Caenorhabditis elegans: one gene and its partner. The protein of the gene in region 2 interacts with the protein of the main gene of each other region in a pairwise test. Each region holds a gene or a part of one and is shown on either strand. Other genes may lie near its edges.

What was found. Proteins that work in one complex are often made in the same cells at the same time.
Region 1: the proteins of acox-1.1 (region 2) and mus-101 interact in a two-hybrid assay, tested with the Caenorhabditis elegans proteins (2 studies listed by BioGRID).

The regions. Positions count from the first base shown.
Region 1 is NC_003279.8:10,478,945-10,486,692, forward strand, and holds mus-101 (BRCT domain-containing protein), read right to left. Parts: upstream 6,021-7,748; 5' UTR 6,018-6,020; coding exon 5,976-6,017; intron 5,925-5,975; coding exon 5,793-5,924; intron 5,755-5,792; coding exon 5,606-5,754; intron 5,546-5,605; coding exon 5,302-5,545; intron 5,252-5,301; coding exon 5,108-5,251; intron 5,055-5,107; coding exon 4,822-5,054; intron 4,503-4,821; coding exon 4,215-4,502; intron 4,165-4,214; coding exon 4,014-4,164; intron 3,967-4,013; coding exon 3,723-3,966; intron 3,264-3,722; coding exon 3,101-3,263; intron 3,049-3,100; coding exon 2,862-3,048; intron 2,813-2,861; coding exon 2,268-2,812; intron 1,874-2,267; coding exon 1,666-1,873; intron 1,532-1,665; coding exon 1,379-1,531; intron 1,328-1,378; coding exon 968-1,327; intron 837-967; coding exon 645-836; intron 600-644; coding exon 474-599; 3' UTR 358-473; downstream 1-357.
Region 2 is NC_003279.8:12,936,815-12,942,761, forward strand, and holds acox-1.1 (Acyl-coenzyme A oxidase acox-1.1), read left to right. Parts: upstream 1-1,740; 5' UTR 1,741-1,747; coding exon 1,748-1,864; intron 1,865-1,918; coding exon 1,919-2,109; exon of another isoform or gene 2,110-2,488; coding exon 2,489-3,163; intron 3,164-3,737; coding exon 3,738-4,002; intron 4,003-4,049; coding exon 4,050-4,400; intron 4,401-4,831; coding exon 4,832-5,113; intron 5,114-5,162; coding exon 5,163-5,306; 3' UTR 5,307-5,410; downstream 5,411-5,947. Other genes in the region: tag-138 (ENTH domain-containing protein), read left to right, coding at 124-235, 350-438; Acyl-coenzyme A oxidase acox-1.2, read left to right, coding at 5,494-5,604. UniProt on the Caenorhabditis elegans protein: Involved in the first step of peroxisomal beta-oxidation by catalyzing the desaturation of fatty acid-derived side chains.

The sequences.
Region 1 (7,748 bases), 2.5 Mb from region 2:
ATAAGCTCCGAAATTCAAATACCTTTTGAAGAATTTTAAAAGTAAGATATTTTGGTGTGGGACTAAAACCAAAATTTCTGGAAACGTTGTTAAAATTTCAAATACTAATCCAAAAAATACATAAGAAAACCATTCACTAGAGCGTAATTGCAAAAAGGGTAGTGCAAGAGAATGGAAGTAATTTATTGATTATTTTCCCGTTGTGCAAACCGTAGACAGCGGGAACATATGGCATGAGAGGCAGCTGCGCGCGTTTTCCCACTTGTTTGAAAAGATATTCTCTTATAAGAAATGAAACGAGAAGAATAAAATTACGTTATTTAAACGATTCAAAATAAATTAAAGCAACGAGGACAAGCAAAATTATTGAAAACTTTACGAAACAAAAAATTGAAACAATCACTAGAAATTTAAAAAAGACAAAAAATGAAACCAATTAAAAATATATAGCACATTTAGAAAATCGGAATGGCTCATGCTTTCATGTAGACATTATGCCAAAACTTGGTTCGATTTAGATTATCTCTGTCGATTAGGAAGTCGTAAAGGATGTCGAAGACGTAGATCGGAATATTATCACGTTTCAGCAACACAGCGCTCTTAAAATTTGAATAAATTTTATCGAAGAGATTTTCTTAATTTACCTGAGGATTCCATGGGAACTCTTTGGATGCCAAAACAATGTTAGGCTTAAGTGTAGATACTTCTACATACTCGGAAATCGAATGAACAATGGCACCACCGGCTTCCAGAATCGATGAAAATACGCCAGCTCTCTTATCGTCGAGATGAATTACGCAACGCCAATCCGAGAATGCTCCATTTTGACGATTCTCCTGAAAGATTTGCCCGTTTCAAACAGGTTGAGCAGACTAGTGAGTTTTGAATGTTTTTGGTTCTAGTAAATTTAAATTTCAATTCAGAAATTGACCCAAAAAGCCAGAAAGCTACATATCTAGAAACTGACCATGCTAACTGAAAATGTAACCGGCATCTCTGCCACACGTTGCCTCCATAATCCACAAACAGCTGCTAGATTCTCGGAAACTTTCCGACTATCTCGTTCTTTGAGGGACTCGTTCTTTTTCGAACACGCCAACAACTTTTCTCGAGTCCACTCAAATGATTTTTCATCGAGCCATCGACCAACTTCAGCACTTTTAGTCACATAATCAGGTGTTAGACACCATTTTCCAGCTGCAATTGAGCAAAGAACTTTTGGAGCTCTTTGCATGTTGCTCGCAATCAGATGAGTCACATCTTTATTGAATTCACGTTCGATGGTACCACCAAGCTTCATGATAGTTTCTTGTAGATCTGCGGCTCGCTGAAAAAAACAAATATATAGAATTGAAAATCAAAACTTAAGAAATCTAACTTGAGGATCCATATTAGAAACACTGAGCAAAAAACGTGGATTCATTGCATATCGACGGTTCAGATCTTCGTGTTCTTGATTTTGATCTGCGAATGATTCATCCATTGGCATATATCTCATTGAACGGTTTACATCACGAACAAGAACGGGAGTCTGAAAAATACACATTTATCTCATAGTTTTAATAAGCTGGCTATGAGTTTAATATATTTAATTCCTTAAACTATTCGGACAATACTGGAAACTATTAAATCTTCTAACGGTGATATACAACAGAAATGCCATACACTAGAGACAGTTTTTCGATTTTCTGGAACTCTGGGTCGAATTAGGTGGCACGTGGAAGGCTCATCCTCGAAATCTTCGTTTCTTCCAGTGTTCACGACAGCTTTTCGAAGGATGCTTCCAACTCGAGAAGTTGTCAGCGTTTCCTGTGTTTCACGTGCCGGTGACTCCATATTGTTGATGTATTCGCTAACACCGTCGAGTTGGAGGCTATAAAATTGGATAACATTGACAAATTATGTGTTATTTTAAAGTTTTGCAACTAAATTTTTTTTTCAGAAATATCTAAATGAGTTTAAGATATTACCATTATAACTCCCAAAAATGCTCCGAAAATACGGTCCGGAGAAATATTCTCCCGATTCTTCAAAATTTAATGTAATAATGTCTCATGTTTTTTTTCTTTTTTAAAATATACATTTCAAAAAACCTGATCAACAATATTTTTGAGATGAAGCTCCAGGAAAAGCTTATTAATAGAGAAAAAGTTGCACAAAATGCTGAAATACACATTTCTTTTTTTGAAAATCGCAATAACCTACAAATTACGGTAGTTAAAATTTAGAATTTCACAATTTTCATAATTTGCAACCAGAAAACTCACTTCATCGTATATGGCTTTCGAAGATCGGGGAAATAAGGATTCACATAGGGGGTCGTCATGTCACCGATGTTCCCATTCCCAGTTTCTACTGGTAGATCCTGTACTCGATGTCTATCTTCAACCTCAACTTCCATTTCTTGTGTACTATTATTCTTCTCTCGAGAACACTTTTCCCAGAGATCATCGTCTCGTTGAAATCCACTTAGAGGCCTCGTGTTGTTCTTATACAGGAAGTTATCAATTGGCTGCAATCGACATCTGCTCACACTGGCTATAATCCATGAAAAATCGAGTGTTCGGGAATGGTATCTTGGTGGATTGTCTTCTGCATCAATCATAATAATAAAATCCTTTGGTTCCAACTGCTCCACAATTCTTCCTCCATTGTCCTCGATAATATCTCTTACACGATCACGGAGAAATGGATCTTTGCATTTTAATTGGAAGCCACGTTGATTGAAAATTAGAATTGGAGGACGGGGAAGTGGTACAAATAATGGATAACACGATCGATTGAGAAATCTGTTGTTTCCGATGCTCGCGTACTGAAAAATAAATATATTGTCTGGCATATTGTCAGGTTTCAATCTTTACAATATAAAAATCCGTGACAACAGCATCAAATGAAATCAACTCGTGCATTGGTCCAGAATGTCCGAAAATCACAAACTCCGCATAATCTGGATCGTCCATCAGTTTGCCTCCATTCAACGGAATTTTCTCTTTCAAATCATCAGAAACTTCTTGATCGACGGAACAATGGACACAATACGTGTGATATCTGAAAATGAGAATATGGAAAAGGAACATAAAAAAATAAAATACAATCGTACGAGAAAATTCCGACTTGAGTTGAAGTAGAGCTTGGTCCTGATGTTTTACCATATGGAATGGTTGATTTAGACGAGGTCCGGGGAAGAGGCTGAGGTCTTACTGGTTGCAGTTGAGATTGAGAAGATTGTGATTCATCAGCTGTATTTTCAGTCCATTGATAACCTGAAAAAATTAATAGTTAAACTGTTCGTTCCATCCAGAGGTATTCGACACTTTTTTCGGTTCACTGTTGTATCGAAGTTTTTTTTTCCGGAGAATCATACATATATTATAAATATTTGTTATTTTCTGAAGATAACTTTATTTTCAGTTAAGTTTTGAGAAGTTGCATCAAAAGTTTCGTCGAAATATTTTGGTGTTTTTTGAGAACATCGAAATTATAAGGAAAAAATTGGGAGATATGTCAAAAATAGGTTTATGTTGATGAGAAAAAAAAAGTTTTGTAAAACGAAACTTCGAAGTTAAAAAAAAATTCAGTTTTAAACTGAAATCTTCAAGCAACTTATCGAAGCTATTAATTAAAGATGAAGTTTTCTTCAGAAAATACAAATATTTCTCTATTTACAAATTTCCGAAAAAAAACTTCGAAAGAGAAAGAGGATGTTGTAAAAGTGCTGAGACCTTCCACTGAAATCATTTTCCGCTGTTTGACACACTCGACCACCCATCCAACAGTAACAATTGCAATATCTTCTTGATGAAGGTGTTTTCGAATGGTAATTCGTTCTTGTTGATTCGGCGAAACTACAACCACATTCGTTGCTGATGTGAATTTTGCGACACGCGTTGCTCCAGTCTCGTTCAGAAATCGACGCCATTTTTCCATTCGAGACTCGTCGACTCCACATATATAGAACATGCAGTTCTGAAAAATTGATGTTAATTTTGATTTAAAGAATAGAAAAAAAAAACTTCAAAAAGATCTCCAAGTCCATCGTCAATATTTTTTCGAAGTTCATCGATAGGATCAGAAATAACGTCAGCAATATTTTGAACGGATGCTGTTTGAGTAGTTGGATATCGAATCAGTGGAGTAGTTTGAACTCGAGCTATTGGAGTTGATCTGAATATCGAAAATTCATTGTTCTTTCTAAAATTTCCGTTTTCACATACATTCCATCTCTAACTCCGCTTCCAGATCTTCCTAATGTTGAATCATTATTCGTAAAAGTACTCGACGGGATTTTTGACGTAGAAGCAAATGAAATAAACGAAGATCCTGATTGATGTTGATATGATTGATCCATTTGTGGAATAGAAGAATTGAATGAAGATGTACCCAAACGACCTCCATGTCCAGCGATTGATGAGATATCCGGCACACTTTCAGTCACATTAGCATCACGTTTCGGGGTGGAAGATCGAATATGATCAGCCGTTAAATATTTTGGATGATATTTTCTGTAAAACGCTTTTTCTGGCAACATCATTTGAATGGAAAGTAGAGCGCCCAAAAACGAGCAAATTTTATAATGAAACACAGAAAAAAAAACTGAAAAAAAAGGATTATTTTGCTAAAAACGGAATTTTCATTTTCCTGTCATTGTCGCAGTTTTTATTAAATCCTAAATTTTTATTGCATGTTTTGATAGCTTATCTCGCGTAAGCTCGTTGATTTAAGAATATATTTTTTCTGCAAAATGTTCCTCTTTTTCGGATTTTTTAATGTTTTTTGAATGAATGTCGCTTGATTTGAGCCAATTCCCTCTCAAAAACGAACCCCGCATCTACAAGATGTCCTAAATCTACACATTTCCGAATCCATCGAGACTGCACAATTTGCATTGATTTCCATTCAACAGCTTTTGCATATTTTACTCCAGTAATTTTATCACTGATAAGATAGCTACATCTGGTTTTTGACATGGTTCCAGGCACTTTTCCTCCGTGATCTTCAATCAGCTGAATGAAATTGGTACGATCAGCGCCGTCGATCGATGTGATTGCCATTTCCTGAATTTAAATGTATAAAACTGAAATTCAAATTCATGATTTCGATCACTCACGAGCCCTTCAAAAACTCTCAATGCATAGGAATTAACTGAATCCCGCGATAAAGCACTAAATCTGCCCATTGTGGTTTGAGAAGTTTCCCAGAGATCATCAATCCATCCGATTCGCATTAATTTGATTGAATTATTGACAGCAGCCTGGAATTTTTTTATTTTATTTTAAATTTCTGCTTGATATACTATTTAACCTTATACTTTTCCGTCTGTTCTGCTTTTTCAGTTACTAGGTGAGTCGTTTCGTGATATAGAGCATCTCCAACCACTCCACACATCCATCCGATTTTTTCGTAGAGTTCTTGCTTTTTCGTAAGATTCAACCCGGTGAAACTGATTTTTACGTCTTGAAAAACACTGGAATACACTGGATGATTCCATTGTGGGAGCTGCTTCCCATCTTCGATACTTTCAAGAACAATTGGAGGACCGTATACTCTGAATATTGTAATTTTATTTTGTGGACTTGAATTTATTTGAATTTAATTTAACACAAACTTCAATTTCCGGGCTTGAAGTTTTCGAAAAAGCTTTCCGCGGAAACAGGGTAAAACGAAAAAGTCTTCAGATTTCTGCAGATCTTCGAGTGCATCTGAATCAATCCATTCTGGCATGATTCCCACAGCTTTTGCAGTCTGAAAATACGCCTAAAACTTGAAAAATAAATAAATTAATAACGCAATACTTTGAATAACTCTTCTAAATTGCGAATTTCTTTGACTGTTGGTTCATTGGGAAGATCGACAAAGTACAATGTGAACGGAGAATCTTCTTCATCGTCATCGCAAAGCACCGACTCGTCTTGCATCCTACTGACCTGAAATTTGAAGTTTTGATATTAAAATTGTTGAAAATCAGATATAATTACCTCACTCCTTCGTGCCTTCTTCGGGGCCGGAGGTGCCTCCATTGTAAAATCTGGAATATTTTGATAATAAAAAAAGCTAATTTCGCCAGTAAAAAACTCAAGAATTGGCAGGGTAGGGTGTTAACATTAAGTTCAAAAATGACAGTTTCGCGCGTGTGAAATGCGAACAGACACGACGGGAAGTGGTATGACTGTCTGCGTCTCTCGATATTCTGAATAACAGAACTGCTGACAGTTTCTCTCATTTGTATGAAGAAATTTGTGAAAAGAGTTCAATCTGGAAGATGGAAATGTGAACATGGAGAAAACAATTGATCAGAGTAATTTAAATTATCTCAAAGCCAAAAACTGTACGGAACAGCGGCTTATAGCATCTCTATTTGAATGAAAATTATATAGCAGTTTCTCTTTAAAAACTTTTCCGAAAAAATCATCGGAAAAACCACTTCCTATTTTCCAAGTATCATCGCGCGTAAGTATTGTCCTTTTTGGATTTAAGGTTCAACGATACATTTTCACATACTGAAAAATGACGATACATTTTCATATTAGCGAGGAAAGGATGAAGAGTTCAACAACACCCAAAATTTCGAGATTCTACCGGAAGTTGATGTAAAAAAAAAGTAAAAAAAAAGGAGACCCGAAGAACTCGGGGATGTCCAATTGGGGGGATTACCAACTCGGGGGATTGGCCCCGCCCACAGAACCGTGGCTTGCAATACGCCCATTTCTGCAACTGCCGCACGGTTTTGAAACTGTATTTTTCTTGTTAATTCTCGCTCTATTGAGAAAAATACAGTTTCGAAACCGTGCGGCAGTTGCAGAAATGGGCGTATTGCAAGCCACGGTTCTGTGGGCGGGGCCAATCCCCCGAGTTGGTAATCCCCCCAATTGGACATCCCCCGAGTTCTTTGGGTCTCAAAAAAAGTAAACTATAAATTTTCCGTGGATCTGCAAAATTACGTGAAGTGTTTGTTTGCTTACGTTGCATACCGTAATCTGGAAAGCCGCCAATATCCTAAATTTCTCATGTCAAAAATCTTCAAGCTTGCCGGCCCAATTAACATTTTCAATTAACACCGAAAACACCGGAAACATATTTTTAAAAATGTAAAATGAACACGTGTATTCAGCTCGACCAACGCCTCGAAAATTTTCACAAAAAGGCGGGAAAAAATATTTGAATTCCCCAAGAGGAATTTCACCGCAGCGCGTGCAAAAGTCTGCATTTGCGCGTGACGGTGTTTGCACAAATTACACCGAATGGTCGAGCTGAAAACACGTGATGAATAAAAAACCTTTAAAAACTGTTGGTCTTAAAGGACCTATTCAATATGTTGTTGCTGGGTCTCACCACGATTGCTAATTAATACCGTAGTCAAGAGGCTTGGAAATCTTTTTTCCTAATATTCCATAAAACTTGTAAAATCTTTTGAAAATGTCTTTGTCTTCTTCAATTTCATGGTGTAAAATTAGTTTATTTCGAAAAATTTCGGTCAAAATTATGTCAATTTCAGTTTCAGACATGAAAACATTTAGAATAGATCAAAAATTGTTTGTCCCCAGTTTACGGCGCGAGCGGAAAATTTATGCGATTGTGTTTTCAAACTCGGAAGTTTTTTTTTTTTTCATACGGCTCAACGGCTCGATTCTTGATCAGTTTTTTCCATACTTTCTTGAAAAAAACAGGTCATTTTAAACCTTTTATCTATCTCTTACTTCTATTATATGATTTTATTTACGAAGCTAAAATGCCCATTTTTAACTTTCATA
Region 2 (5,947 bases):
CATGACAGGGTTCGATTAATCTCAAGAAATTGGTGACACCAGTTATGCCTAGAGTTAGAGTCATGTACTATAAGTTCAACAAAGAGGAATAGTCACAGTAAAAACATTTTCCCGGTTTTTCAGGCCCGCACCCGAATTGAACATTATGAAAACCGTTTAAAAGAAATGCACGGGGAATTCCAGCATGTGAGACGAGAAGCTGATGAAAATCGAGAGGAGGTTCAGAGACTCAGATGTTTGTTTTAATTTTCCTCAGACGGCACCGGTATTAGAATGTATACAGGCACCTAGGCAGGCAGGAGCACGTGCCTGATTTCTAAATATGGTTTTCAAATAAAGTTACTTTCAGACGAGTTGGCACTCCGCGATGCTTCTAGGACTCAAAATCAAGCGGCTATCTATGACACTCCTCCGGATGAGTTCAGCATTAAATTTTAAAAGGAACTTTTCATAATCATCATTACTCCACTCAAAGTAGAACATCTCAGCATGTTTACATTCATTTAATATTTCATTAACAATAAATGTATTTTAATACTATTACTGGATATCCAGCTTTTCACAAAGCTAACCGATATGAAATTTTTAAAAAATACCGGAATGTACAAATGAGGTCAATTTTAAGGTAACGTTTATTGATCAAGAGCAGAACAGAATAAAACAAAAATCCGATAATAAACCGACCAACTTCAGAACAAAAATCCCAACAGACGCGATTTCTTCGTTAATTACAAAATAATATTAAACTAGCTGATGATTAAACTGACTTCAACTTTGAGAAATTTTATCAAAAGATCACAGTTTCTTCCACACAGAATACATCACTTTCTCTGCCTACATAATTTTTATCCCCCTTTTCTAATGTTATCACTTTTTGTCAATTCACTGGTTCAAAATTCTGACTATGAGAGTCACAATATAGCCTACATGTTACATGACTTCTTCCAATTCCCCCTTCCCATGCAATTTTCAATATCACGTTCCGTGACTACACTGTAGTCAATGGACATAAATGATTGGAAAATGGACGGTACAATGTGGTGTGGTGATAAGAGAGTTATCACCTCCTCCTTTCGTCTTCTATTTCTCTTTTGGTTTTGATGATCATTCTCTCGTCTTCTTATCATTTAAATTGAGTGCAGAGGCAGGTAGAAAAACTGAATTTATATTCAGTGGTTTTTTTTTCAAATTGTTAGTATTGCAGGTGTTAAGTTGAACGATTTATGAGCTCTTTTTCTAGACAGGCTTCTTTTTGATAAGAAATACTTTTTTGTATATTTTTTACAACTTTTCTGCTAACAGTGCCCTAACTGGGATATGAGACGAAATATGTAATCTAACAGATCTTTTTTTACAGTAACTATAGTTGTGTAATGTAGATACGGTATTTCCAAATTAAACTGAGATATAATATAAAAAATAGGCTAAAAATAAGATCAAGCTCTCGAAGAAACTGATCTGAAGCTCTTGCCAATTACATGCAGCTTCTGTAATTCATTTTTTCATATATTTAAGTTTCACTAAGATACCGTATTTCCTCTTTTTTTTGTAGATGCATTTTTATAAGTCTAAGTTTTAACTGTCATGGCAGGTGTAATACTTTTTGAACCGCTGCGTTAGATTCGAGCCAAGAGTTTCAATTTTCGTACAACTTATTGATATTTTTTAACTTTGTAGTACTTCGTACTTATCAATTTCAACCACATATGTTTTTTTTTCAAATTTTTAAAACTTTGTCAGTTTTAGTATGGTGCATCTCAACAAAACAATTCAGGAGGGTGATAACCCGGATCTCACTGCCGAACGCTTGACGGCAACATTTGATACTCATGCGATGGCTGCACAGATTTATGGGGGAGAAATGGTAAGCTATCTAGTCAAAATGGAATATTTGAATAACTGTCTCTAATGTTTCCAGCGCGCCCGTCGTCGTCGTGAGATCACCGCGAAGCTTGCAGAAATCCCAGAGCTCCATGACTCGATGCCACTTCCGTATATGACAAGAGAGGAGAAAATTATGGAAAGTGCTAGGAAACTGACGGTTTTGACACAAAGAATGTCAGAGATCATTGATCCAACTGATGCAGGCGAGTTGTATCATTTGAACAAGTAAGTGGACTTTTTTCTTGGACTAATACCCTTCGTTTGACAGGCTTAGGATTTTTCCTAAAATTACATGGAAAATTAATTTAGAAATCAGATTCAGCATATGAAATAGTTTTTGGTACAAAAATTTTATTATGATAACGTAAAAATAAGGAAAAGCAATTCTTTGGGATCTCATGAGATTTTTGAAAACATCGCCGAACTTTCATTTTTTTTTTACGTGCGAAACCATCCAGATTAAGGGCGATTCTAAAGAAGTTACGCTCACTGTACTTTAGTTTATCATATCAAAAATCAAAGTAGAATAATACAAAAATACAAGTTTAATAATGAAAGAGCTCTTCAAACTGAGCATTTTCCCAGAAAATCAATAATTTTCCAGCGAAGTTCTCGGAATCGAAGGAAATCCTATGGCTCTTCACGGTGTGATGTTCATTCCAGCCCTCAACGCTCAAGCTAGTGATGAGCAGCAAGCCAAGTGGCTCATTCGAGCGCTCCGACGAGAAATCATCGGAACCTACGCCCAAACTGAAATGGGTCATGGCACAAATCTTCAAAATCTGGAAACAACTGCTACTTATGACATTGGAACTCAGGAGTTTGTGCTTCACACTCCAAAGATCACCGCATTGAAGTGGTGGCCAGGGAATCTTGGAAAAAGCAGCAACTATGCAGTTGTAGTTGCACATATGTATATAAAGGGAAAGAACTTTGGACCACATACCTTCATGGTTCCATTGAGAGACGAGAAAACTCACAAACCACTTCCAGGGATTACAATTGGAGATATTGGACCAAAAATGGCTTATAATATTGTAGACAATGGATTCCTAGGCTTCAACAACTACCGTATCCCAAGAACGAATCTTTTGATGAGACATACCAAAGTAGAGGCTGACGGGACTTATATCAAACCACCACATGCAAAGATCAATTACTCTGCAATGGTACATGTGAGAAGTTATATGCTTACTGGACAGGCGATTATGTTGTCGTATGCGTTGAATATTGCAACAAGATACTCGGCAGTGAGAAGACAGGGGCAGATTGATAAAAAGTAAGTTGGAACTTTTATGAATAAGATCTGAAGAATACCAACTACTATTAGTAAAATAAAAAAGGGTTATAGGTTGAATTTCTTGGGTTGAGCTATCTCTAAATATATTTTTCATAACTAAAAAGCTTATTTCATGGCTTGAAAATAGATTCGTCTTTAGTAAGAATGATCATAACTATAACTATACATCAATACTTTTATGTGCATACCTATGTAGTACGTCTATTACCTTTATATATAGAAGTTCCGTAAATAACAGACTTCGCTGTGCCACTCACAACTTACATAACTTCTCAGTTTTGTTACTGTTACGAATTACGAACTACGATATGAATTACGCCTGTTAAACAATACAACGTAAATGTTACGAAAAATGTTACGTTTGATCAACAAAAAATGCGGGAATTTTCCCCCAGGAAAATGTGACGTCATCACGCAAAATCAGTTGAAAAATCTGCATCTCTTCTCCCGCATTTTTCGTAGAACAAACCAAAATGGGACACTTTGACACCACGTGCGAATTACGAGAAACTTAATTACTTGCAAACCCCATCCTCACTTATCCTCTTTCCAGTGAACCAGAGGTAAAAGTGCTCGAGTACCAAACCCAGCAGCACCGTCTCTTCCCATTCATCGCCCGTGCCTACGCTTTCCAGTTTGCTGGTGCCGAGACCGTGAAGCTTTACGAACGAGTACTCAAGGAGATGAAATCTGGAAATGTGTCTCTTATGGCTGACTTACATGCATTGACTTCTGGTTTAAAATCAGTTGTTACTCATCAAACTGGAGAAGGTATCGAACAAGCGAGAATGGCTTGTGGTGGGCATGGATATTCTATGGTAGGAATGTTATAATTGAAATTGCAAATTCTAAAGGAATGTTTCAGGCTAGTTACATCTCTGAAATCTACGGAGTTGCAATTGGAGGATGCACGTATGAAGGAGAAAATATGGTTATGCTTCTTCAACTCGCTCGTTACCTCGTCAAATCCGCTGCCCTTGTGAAGTCCGGAAAAGCTTCTCAGCTTGGACCACTGGTAGCCTACTTGGGCGCCAGAAGTGAGCCAACTAGCCTGATAGATAGAGTTCCAAATGGTGGAATCACGGAATACATCAAGACATTCCAACATATCGCAAAGAGACAGACGTTGAAGGCTGCCAACAAGTTCTTCGGATTAATGGAGAATGGAGAAAAGAGAGAAATCGCCTGGAACAAGTCATCCGTGGAGTTGAATAGGGTATGTTTGACTTATGCTTGTGATTTTTGAGAATACGAGTGATGGTACATTGTGGCCTTGATGTCCATTTGCCCATTTCCTTGCAGAAAATGCAAAACCTGCAAAACTTTAGATGCACTTTTGAGCTTGTTTATCAATATTTGTCAACAATCATTGAATTCTTATCAGTTGTCCCTGCAACCTTACTAGGAAAATTAGTTCAAACACCAAAATGTTGGAAAAGTGCATTTGCTATGTAGCAAAAACTGGTGAAATCTGGTAGAATTTTGTAAATCCGAAACCTTTTTTGGGCTCTATATTAGGGTGCATACTAGATACCAGAGCCGTATTTAAAGTTAAAGATGACTAAAGATTCTGAACACACTAGCTTAAGACATTGTAACAAAAGCGACACTCTTAAAATTAAAAGTCCGAAAAGTATATATTTCTAGGCGAGTCGCCTCCACACCCGCCTCTTCATCGTCGAAGCCTTTGCCAGACGAGTCAACGAAATCGGAGATATCACCATCAAAGAGGCTCTCAGCGATCTCCTCCATCTTCACGTCAACTATGAACTTTTGGATGTTGCCACGTATGCACTGGAAGATGGATTCATGTCATCCACTCAGTTGGATTATGTCAGAGATCAATTGTACTTCTATCTCCAGAAAATTCGACCAAACGCAGTTTCATTGCTAGATTCCTGGGAGTTTAGTGATAGAGAGCTGAGATCTGTAAGTTCCAAAGCTAATGGGTTCTAAAATTAAATAACTGAAATTTCAGGTCCTAGGCCGCCGTGATGGTCATGTCTACGAGAACCTTTTCAAGTGGGCAAAGGAAAGTCCGTTGAACAAGACAGATGTTCTTCCGTCAGTGGATACATATTTGAAGCCAATGATGGAAAAAGCCAGGCAGAGCAAGCTATAATTCTAATTTATATTTTTGATTTTTTTTTCTCTTGCATACTCTTTGCTTATACTGTTAAATATTTGAAAATGCAAACATTGCACTTATAAATAGTACAGGCCAATAATCACAACTCCGCCCATCACTCCTTTTATACCCTTTCCATCAGTTCATCCATCCATTCTTCTTTTTTGTTGATATCAGTAACATGGCGAACCGATCAATTCGTGATGGAGATAACCCCGAATTGCTGGAAGAACGGAGGATGGCAACTTTTGATACGGATAAGATGGCAGCGGTGATCTATGGAAGTGAAGAGGTAAGGACTGCAAACTACAAACTATTGATTACAAGCTTTATTAGGCTAATAGAAAATCAGATTATACATAATTTTAGTATGAATCAAGAGTTATCAAAGCTGAAATTTTATAATGTTTTAAAGCACAATGGAATGTATACATACATGTTCTTGAAAAATATTGTATACCTTAAGTGGAGACCATGTATGTTTCGCACCGTATAACTTAATCAGTTAGAACGACATGTTCCACCACGTGGCATTGAACAATAAAATCCCTGTAATTCCACAAAAATCAATTTTCGTCGTTTTCCCTTTGTCGGAAAAATTTTTTTTATTAGGTAAGATTAGATAGCCACTATTT